Linked DNA regions of Arabidopsis thaliana. The protein of the gene in region 3 interacts with the protein of the main gene of each other region in a pairwise test. Each region holds a gene or a part of one and is shown on either strand. Other genes may lie near its edges. The genes, in order: AT5G51190, ARR6 and ZF3.

The links.
Region 1: the proteins of ZF3 (region 3) and AT5G51190 interact in a two-hybrid assay, tested with the Arabidopsis thaliana proteins (one large-scale study listed by BioGRID).
Region 2: the proteins of ZF3 (region 3) and ARR6 interact in a two-hybrid assay, tested with the Arabidopsis thaliana proteins (one large-scale study listed by BioGRID).

The regions. Positions count from the first base shown.
Region 1 is NC_003076.8:20,799,944-20,803,262, reverse strand, and holds AT5G51190 (Integrase-type DNA-binding superfamily protein), read left to right. Parts: upstream 1-1,825; 5' UTR 1,826-1,889; coding exon 1,890-2,555; 3' UTR 2,556-2,790; downstream 2,791-3,319. Other genes in the region: AT5G51195 (Ta11-like non-LTR retrotransposon), read left to right, coding at 26-157.
Region 2 is NC_003076.8:25,252,716-25,256,477, reverse strand, and holds the start of ARR6 (response regulator 6), read left to right. Parts: upstream 1-2,159; 5' UTR 2,160-2,319; coding exon 2,320-2,470; intron 2,471-2,553; coding exon 2,554-2,630; intron 2,631-2,709; coding exon 2,710-2,787; intron 2,788-2,875; coding exon 2,876-2,946; intron 2,947-3,549; coding exon 3,550-3,733; 3' UTR 3,734-3,762. Other genes in the region: AT5G62930 (SGNH hydrolase-type esterase superfamily protein), read right to left, coding at 121-289, 406-570, 670-746, 838-978, 1,390-1,644. UniProt on the Arabidopsis thaliana protein: Functions as a response regulator involved in His-to-Asp phosphorelay signal transduction system. Phosphorylation of the Asp residue in the receiver domain activates the ability of the protein to promote the transcription of target genes.
Region 3 is NC_003076.8:17,330,357-17,333,303, reverse strand, and holds ZF3 (zinc-finger protein 3), read left to right. Parts: upstream 1-1,657; 5' UTR 1,658-1,672; coding exon 1,673-2,254; 3' UTR 2,255-2,359; downstream 2,360-2,947. Other genes in the region: QWRF9 (QWRF motif protein (DUF566)), read right to left, coding at 2,568-2,612, 2,690-2,797, 2,892-2,947. UniProt on the Arabidopsis thaliana protein: Transcriptional repressor probably involved in abiotic stress responses. Binds DNA in a sequence-specific manner and can repress the transactivation activity of other transcription factors.

The DNA.
Region 1 (3,319 bases), 3.5 Mb from region 3:
AGAAGTGAAAGGTTTTAGATTTTAGATCGATGATGAAACTCACGATGACTTTTTTGCGTCTAGCAAGTCTGGATGGTGGTGTGATCGTGGTGATTTGGTTGTTGGGTTTAGGGATTTTTTTTACTGGGCAGCTATTTTAGGTTATTTGGAGAAGTGATCATTTATCGGTTTGAGACTATGTGGAGGCAAAATTGGAGTCGCCAGATACCTTTGATCGACGGCGTGAGTTGAATGCGAATGAATCTGGTCTAGTTTTCCAACACTAATCTTACTCCTTGTGTTTTCTGAACTTCAAAGATTTAACAAATTAACAGAAGTGGATGAATGAAACTGAAAACCCGAATCGAAACCAACCCAAAAAACCGGTTTGGGTCAAGTAGGATATAACTAATTTACCTATTGGATCCTATGTAATTGTAATCTTGGGTATCAGGTCGCTTCGGGTATTACCCGATACCCGAACGAGTAACCCGATTACCCAAAATTAGCTACACTTATATGGATAGAAGCTTTACTTACATCGGAAAATCGGACAATATTTTGGAAAATCTGATAATATTTCGGATAACTAGGTAAAAATTTCGGATAATCGGATATAATATCAGTTAATCAAGTAAAACTTCGAGTAATCAGGTACAATCAGATAGAAAAACATTTGAACTGAAAAGTACCGAGTTTATAGGTTATGAAATCTTAAATTCGACCCAAATCCGAATCGATACCAAACCCGTTTTTTATATATATCTTATTGGATCCTAAATTTCTTTACTTAAAAAAACCAAATCCGACATGCGTATCCAAATGTCGAGCACCTAGTGTAGGAGTTAGATTCTCATCCAATGTTTCTTATTTTGGTGGTAATTGTTTTAATGAAGTTAATTCTACCCTTAGCTCTTCTCCGCCTATGTTTGTAGGTCCTCTCGACCAGCACTTCTCCGACTTACCCGGTGTCCTTGGCATTTGTATCCATCTTGCGTTTCTGTATATTATTCGGGCCTATGCATGGTGACAAAAAATCTTGTATCTTTTTTCTTTTCATTGTTGTTCGTCAACAAGAATTTTTGAAGTAAGTAATTAAGACTTTTGTGATTAACCAACATTCGTGAAATGCTCCTCGTAAAACTTTTATTTCCAGCATTTTGTTTATACTCTTGTGGGGGCCGGAGTTTTTCAAAGCTTGACCATGAATTTATTGAACATCTTCTAATCTGATTTATTTGGCAAGTTGTTCTATATAACTTGCATGCAGGAAATTCAAACTTTCATTGTTCAAAATAGGCAAGTTGGTCTATATAAACAACAAAGAAACAAAAATGAAGTAACTTAAATTGAATAAAAGTTTCAAACAATTAAACGAAAAAAAACATAAGTTTCAAATATTGCGGCCAAATCATATAATCCACAGTGTGCCCAAACGAGAATCCAAGGCAGCAATACCATCTAACATAGGCACATAGTCAAGTGGACACATACACATTCGTGCATCCACCTTTTCCAAAATATAACTAAACTTTACCCTTAAAAGTAAGAAAAAAGTGTCAATTTTTCTTTCAAATATCTCTCAGAAAAACATTTTTAATTTGTGTCTGGGATATGAAGAAGCCTGGAAATAGACAATAGCTATGATGATGGACCCTCGCAAGAAAAAGACATAGCCACAAATCCTTCATTATCTTAAAATAATAAATGATAGAGTAGTCCACTTGCCACACTCCAAAGCAACAATAGAACTAAACAAGTCAAAACAATTGAAAAGGATCCTTCCTCTCTCCAACCCAAGAAGCTAGCTACGAAACCTCTCAATCCCACTTTTATATATAACCTCCAATCTCAAAAACCAAAATCCATAATCAAAACCACAAAGAAGACTCCAACATAATTCATCATCTATGGCTTCTTCACATCAACAACAGCAAGAACAAGACCAGTCAGCTTTAGATCTCATAACCCAACACCTTCTTACTGATTTCCCTTCCTTAGACACCTTTGCCTCCACCATCCACCACTGCACCACCTCAACTCTAAGCCAACGCAAACCACCTCTTGCCACTATAGCAGTTCCTACTACTGCACCGGTGGTTCAAGAGAATGATCAAAGGCATTACAGAGGCGTCAGGAGAAGACCATGGGGTAAGTATGCGGCTGAGATCAGAGACCCAAACAAGAAAGGTGTTCGTGTCTGGTTAGGCACTTTTGACACAGCCATGGAAGCTGCAAGAGGTTATGACAAGGCAGCTTTTAAACTACGAGGAAGCAAAGCTATTCTTAACTTCCCACTTGAAGCAGGAAAGCATGAGGACTTGGGAGACAACAAGAAGACTATTTCTTTAAAAGCAAAGAGGAAGAGACAGGTGACGGAGGATGAAAGCCAGCTGATCAGCCGTAAAGCTGTTAAGAGGGAAGAAGCTCAGGTTCAGGCTGATGCTTGTCCATTAACGCCATCAAGTTGGAAGGGGTTTTGGGACGGAGCAGACAGTAAAGACATGGGAATATTTTCCGTGCCTCTGTTATCTCCTTGTCCATCTCTTGGACACTCTCAACTCGTAGTTACTTAAGCTTCAGAGGGTCAAACTGGAAAAAATCAACATTGGATTGTTTTCAAAGCTTCTAGATTAGCTGATTGTAAAAAAATGTTTTACTATATTCATTCATTCTTCTTAAATGCAATTCTTTCTACCCTTCCTTAAACGAGCTCAAACTTACAAAAACTTAGGGAGGTCTTAAACCAACAAACCTGTCTTTGCTAGATCACTATCAATGTCCAGCCTAAAGAGATACAGAATGTTCAAGACGCACAAATAGAAGAGAAAACTAATGCTCCACCAGAGCTTCGACTTCCAGATGTACTTGATGCTAAGGTTGTAACATGTTCACGTCATACAACATGGCAAGATTACGTAGACTATTTCAAGTCACCAAATCAAAGGAAACAACCAGAGAGAAATACTGAAGATGAAAGTGTACTGATTGCATTTTAGTCCTTCACCCTGAGAATGTTAAGACGTTGATTATCAAATGACACCACAAACTCAGTCGGTAGGAATTCTTCCAAGTAAAAAAAATATATAGGCACAAAGCTTCCATTGCAAAATATTTGTGAATACATGATACAATTGAATTGAACAATTTGCTTTGCTAATACCATGTATCAAATACATTGGTCATAATTGACGTCTTGCTACCTGTGCAATTACAGACAAAATGAGATGATTTTATAGTGTAAACAACTACGTGACATATAAACGTCCAGCTGGAAAATTGTTGCTCTACTATAAGAAATTTGAGTCCTTAATGTCGTGTCCCAAACTCTTGGGTGATG
Region 2 (3,762 bases), 7.9 Mb from region 3:
CTAGTGATGATGCACTTTTTAGGTATTTATTCACATCCGAGAGTTTTCTAAATCACAACATTGAAACGTGTTCATGAATTTAAATCAAAACAAACCTGCTCATGAATTTGGGGATGATCGTTATAAGCAACGCTCTTCAAAAGCTTTCGATGGGTTTTTACCATCGATATGCGAATGATGGGGGAAATCAAACGGCATTTCTTCGGGAGAGAGCCAAGCTTCTCTAAAAACTCTCGAGACTTCATCAAAAACTACCCCATTGCCTTCAGGCGTGAGATGGAGCCCATCACTGCTTATAGCCAACAACAACGAGCAAGAACCATTTATAAACAACAAACATGATTGAGGAGGAGATGAGTGTTTGTGAAAAACCAACAACATTTCAGATCAGACTTAGATACAGACCTTAGGTACTTTTTCTGCCAATCATTGGTTTCCTGCATCTTAGACCATAAGTTGACACATCGCAGACCGAGTTCCTCGGCCAATGCAACACAATGTTGTGCATATACCCCTGTTGTTTCGTTTGTTCTCTCAGGCTCTTTCATAGCTTTCTCACCGTAGATTGATCTGATGTAACACAATCACTGGCTCATTTAAGAAACATGTCGGACTAAATGCTTTGAGAAACAAAAATGCAAAGAAGAAAAGGATCATAATAAAGCCTACTCTGCATAACTTTGACGTCCAGCTTCATCAATTGGTGGTGGAGTTATAAGCACAATTAGCATTGTAGGTGAACATTTCTACAAAACAGAGTCATTAGTCTTTAAAGGAATCACACTTCAAGAAAAGTAAGTCCATGCATTAGAGTGGATCAAAGAAGCATATCAAAACCTTCAAATGCTGAACAATCTTTCTGACATTATCTGTGTACTCTTCCACCGGCACATGTTGTCTATCACTGGTTCTTCCTTTGAGAGCTGCATCGTTTGCACCGAAGAATATCGTCGTAGCAACAGGAGGAGACGAAGAGCCCTAGGCAAAAAGACAGAGTAGAACACATACTGAGATAGGCACACCAAAACAACACGCACTACAAGAAGAGTTCTCATGATATATGCAGATGTAATTGCCTTTTACCATCTCAAAATTCAAATCTAAATCTTTCGTACTTCAACCAATCCATGACAATGTCATAAAACCAACACATCCTAGAATCATATCAAAACCATTCAGAACTGAACCATAACAAGCATAAGCAAAACAAAAAATGATGCACAAGAGACAATAACTCAAGATCTATATCCACACAGATCATACACACAATCACAACAGCTCATGAACAAAATCATCCCAATGACTACCAAAATTCGTTCGTGTTTAGATCAAATTTCAAATCAACATTTGTAGACTCGAGGGAGGGAGAGAGAGATAAAAAGTACTGACGAGAGGGAAGATGTGATGAAGCAAGAAGAGAGCCCATCGGGTGTTGTAGCCGCCGTAGCCTCGAACCACAACATCAGCCTTGCGAGAGTAAGCGTCGGCAAGAGCAGATCCCCAACCGCCGGACCTAAAAGACTGCGCCGTGATCGAGTCGCCGAACAGAACTATCTCCGGCCTCATCTCGCTGTCTCCCTCCGGTTCACTGAGTAAACCGTTAACTGTATTAGGAAACTTAAAGTCTCTTCTGGGCCAAATCATATGGGCCGGGCCTTTAGTATTAATTTGTTATATTTTTGGTGAATGAAAAGGTGGTAATCTAAAGAGGTTTTACTAATTGTAGATTAAGGATGCGTGTAATGTTTTAGTATTAGTTTATGATTTCTTGATTTCACATTTTTCTGTCTTGAGCTTAAGTCAAAACCTCAAAGTGAACTTCTACGTAGATGAAGTATTGAAGTGTAGAAGTTAAATGCGTGAACTTCCACAATTCAACTACAAACACACTTTTACCAAAAAAAACTACAAACACACACAAATAATTTAAAAATAAAAAAAGAATTCTACAAGTTATTGAATATCGGTTTGGGTCGGTTAAATCTTGCATCCCATTCCAAATTTTCTGGTTTGTTCTTCGTTTTGACTAAACTTGAACCGATTGGTTTGACTTTATTTCGGTTTTTTGTTTTAACTTATTTAATAATAAAAATCCACCGAACTATTATTTATATAAAATATAAAATAAAGATTTTGAAAGCAAATTGACAAAATCTTAAAGATATGCAAAATCTCTCGATTTCATTCATATTTTTTCCCTCTTTTATTTCTTTCTTTCTTTCTTTCTACTTATATAAATGGCCCAACCACTGCCACCATGGTTTCACATCATATCTTTCTCTTCCTTTTTCTTCCAAATCCTCCAACATTCGTTGATCAATGGCTGAAGTTATGCTACCGAGGAAGATGGAGATTCTCAACCATTCTTCAAAGTTTGGATCACCGGATCCTCTTCATGTTCTTGCCGTCGACGACAGTCACGTTGATCGTAAATTCATCGAGCGTTTGCTCAGAGTATCTTCTTGCAAAGGTAATTATTACTCATATTTTGAAAAATCAGTCTCTGAATTCGGGCAAGTTATCTGAGTAAAAAGCTCTGTTTTGGTTGTTCAGTTACTGTTGTTGATAGTGCAACAAGAGCTCTCCAATACCTTGGTTTGGATGTTGAGGAAAAATCAGTCGGTTTTGAGGTATAAAACAATTTCCAAGAGAAAACAAAATTTTGCCGTAGCTCTCAAGCAATATGTTAAATCGTGATTTGTGCTTCAGGATTTGAAGGTTAATTTAATTATGACTGATTACTCAATGCCCGGTATGACTGGATATGAACTCTTGAAGAAGATCAAAGTAAGCAAACAAACATATAATGATATAATTAGTCAATGGAATTTGAGTTTTATGTTTATCTAATCCTTTTTTACGTGATTTTCCACAGGAATCCTCAGCTTTTAGAGAAGTACCGGTGGTAATTATGTCCTCCGAGAACATTTTGCCTCGTATTGATAGGTATAAAACTTCATCATAATCTTAAGTCAAACTATAGTAAATTTGGTGAATATCTTTGTCTTAGATGATCAAAAAAAGAATTAGATAAAACAAAAAGGGATTAGATCACAAAGTAAAGTTCCTGCTCATATGGTTAAAAGTTAATTTCCTTAAACCATTTTTGGTGGTGGATATTGCATAATTAAACAAATGTTGAGATTTGGTGATCTTTAATGGGTCCCAAGATGATTTTGTGTATAAAGATGTTTCTAACCAGCAAAATCTTTACTTTGGGATTTGATTCTATTTCTGGTGATGTGATATTACAATAAAATAAGTACATGATCTTGCTTGCCTAATATTTGGTAGGGTATTGTGAAAGCCACCTCACATGCTTTTTCACTTTGCATACAATATTAGGAAACCTCTAGACCAAATAAAATAAAAAGGAATATGTATTTGTGTTACACACAATGGCCAACTCAATTACGAACTGGCCATTTTATGATTGTTTGCTACATATACAACAAAAAAAAAACTTATTGATCCAAAGCTATCATCAACTTTATTGAAATTGGAGTTTACTCAAACTGATTTTCTTGTGATTATTATTTTGTCATTCAGATGTCTTGAAGAAGGGGCTGAAGATTTCTTACTGAAGCCGGTAAAACTCTCGGATGTAAAAAGATTAAGAGATTCTCTAATGAAGGTTGAAGATTTGTCTTTCACAAAGAGTATTCAGAAGAGAGAGCTAGAAACAGAGAATGTCTACCCTGTTCACTCGCAGCTCAAACGCGCAAAGATCTGAGCTCTCCGATGCAAATTCCGTGACTGGAT
Region 3 (2,947 bases):
ATTCCGACAAGATCAGATTCACACTCGTTTGCTTGTCTTAAGATCACCCTTACAGAGACAGATAAAATTTAATAAGTCAAAAGTCATTGTCCATAATAAAAACAAAGAAACACAGCTCGGAAATGTATTCTTGTCTCTAAGTTTGAGTTAAGGTACAATGCATTAATCTCACCGATTAGCTATTCATTGGTTGTTAGATCTATTTTTTCAACATCCCGTTACTAGATTAATTATAAAGTTTTTTCTTTCTAAAGATTACACACAAGTTTATACTAGATGTTGTTAAGCTATTGATGATTCAACCATGCATAATCTGTTACCGACGATTCTCCCATTGCAACATAACCCAAAAGGTCCCCCTTCCGCTTGTGAAAGGAAAAACTAAAGGTTTAGAGATATATGCACACATTATATTCGTGAAAGCACATGCATGACCCATATGTTTTTCAAGAGTTTACGAAGGTCATCGTTGCTCAGGCCACCAAACTTTGCTGGTATATCTGCTTCGGTAGCTTGTCTTAAACTCGTTAGTTGCAGCAAGCCTAAGAATCATTACACTTCATTAGGCTTTTCGTTTTTAGGCATCTAACATGATGTGTCTTTTAGATCTCGTAATGTGAGAAAAGAGAGAGAGATAGGTTACTCTTAGAGAATTAGGTTAATTAATTGTTGGAAATTATTTTTTAGTTAGCATAAAGACCTAATTATATAAGTAATTATACAATCTATATTATAACGTAAATAGCTAGTAAAAATGATACAACTTAGATTCTAACCTAAACGTGAAAAAAGCACCCATAATCCTAACTTTAAAAGAAAAGTCCCAAAACCTTATACTAAAGAGAAGACCATTAAACCAAAACTCTTATACCGTATCATGACACAAGTTGTTGAATCCAATTTAGTGTAACTTCAACTCTAGACATTCACGCATTTGAATTAAAACCAATAAAGAAAATTTCATGATTCTTGGTTGCAATGGGCTGTGGGAATTAAGTTATAAGCTCTTTGTTTCTTGTTGTCATGAGTTCTCTACCGAAACATCCAATCATCTTTTATATTCAAGGTTTCCTCATTATAATCTTAATCTACACACATTGCCTCCGTTTTCAAATGTTTGGACCAAGTAATGAATGCTATTGGGTTTGTTCAGAAATTCCCAAAGGTACAACAAACCTACACTTAAATAAATAACTACATATATAAGCAAAGTGTTAAAACATAAATGAAAAGCTAGATGAATATTAATTGTAAAATACGGCCTAAGTTTAGAGACAAGGTTTTTATTAGTTTTAAAGAATCAATCATTATTGTGTGTAGTTGGATTCAAATGTCAACTCTCAACTAGTCAGAAGAAGAGTATATAGCCCGACTTGTGTAACATTTCTCTCCCCCACAAAACGTGCCAAAATTAATATATTCCACTCTCACCAAATGTTGAAATAATATTTTAATTATACATTCACTTTCGTTACAACTTACAACAAACAACTTGCTCAGCACATATTTCGTTTCAACTAAATACTTAAAATAATTAGAATGGCCAATTTGGCCACCCACTCTCACTCTTCTTTCTCACGCAACTTCCTCTCTTCTCAAGATTCTTCTCCATACTTCACCTTCTTCTATATATCTCTCTGCTCTCAAATTAGGTTTTAAATTTTCTATAGCAATGGCGCTTGAAGCTCTTAATTCACCAAGATTGGTCGAGGATCCCTTAAGATTCAATGGCGTTGAGCAGTGGACCAAATGTAAGAAACGATCCAAACGTTCGAGATCTGATCTTCATCATAACCACCGTCTCACTGAGGAAGAGTATCTAGCTTTCTGTCTCATGCTTCTTGCTCGGGATGGCGGCGATCTTGACTCTGTGACGGTTGCGGAGAAGCCGAGTTATAAGTGTGGCGTTTGTTACAAGACGTTTTCGTCTTACCAAGCTCTCGGCGGTCATAAAGCGAGCCACCGGAGCTTATACGGTGGTGGAGAGAATGATAAATCGACACCATCCACCGCCGTGAAATCTCACGTTTGTTCGGTTTGCGGGAAATCTTTCGCCACCGGTCAAGCTCTCGGCGGCCACAAGCGGTGCCACTACGATGGTGGCGTTTCGAACTCGGAAGGTGTGGGGTCTACTAGCCACGTCAGCAGTAGTAGCCACCGTGGATTTGACCTTAATATTATACCGGTGCAGGGATTTTCGCCGGACGACGAAGTGATGAGTCCGATGGCGACTAAGAAGCCTCGCCTGAAGTAAGTCTTTGTTGAAGACCTGGAAGTTTATCAAATGTAAATATCAAATTTCAATTTCAAGGAACAGTTTTGTTGATTCTATTACCAATACACAATACGATTCAATTCCTTTGTTTCTGAAGTAACAGCATACTAAATTCATTAGAAAACCGAATCGAAAATATTTACAACTGACTTTTGTTTGGTTGTTAAACTATCAAGTGAATTTGGCCTCTCTATTTGAATTAGATGATCTCCTTACATTCTCATAACTCCAAAATTGCCGATAATGAGTAGCTTTCTTACTTACACTCTGTTTTGTTAACTTTGCCACCTTACTATTGTAGCTGTGTAACCTGTGTCCTCAAACTGCATTCTGTTACCTGCATAGTTTAGAGATTAATCCCCAACACTGTAGGTATAGTGCAGACAAATCTATAATGAATTTGAGATATTGTACCTGCAGAGCTGAGATTGTGTTTAGAAGGTCCCGGCACACGTCGAGCATCCCTTCGTCCTTGGCATTCACACGGCCAAGTTCTGCTGCCAAGCTACTTATTTTCCCAACCTGGGATATTGGCTTTCACTTTGAAGATACAATATGAATAAAACGCAATAGAAGATTGTGCCATAAACATTATCCGAGAGAAAAGAAGAGTCACCTTTGGCAGCAACAAGCATATGGAAGATGCCATTGCTTGCATAACATCAACTGCTG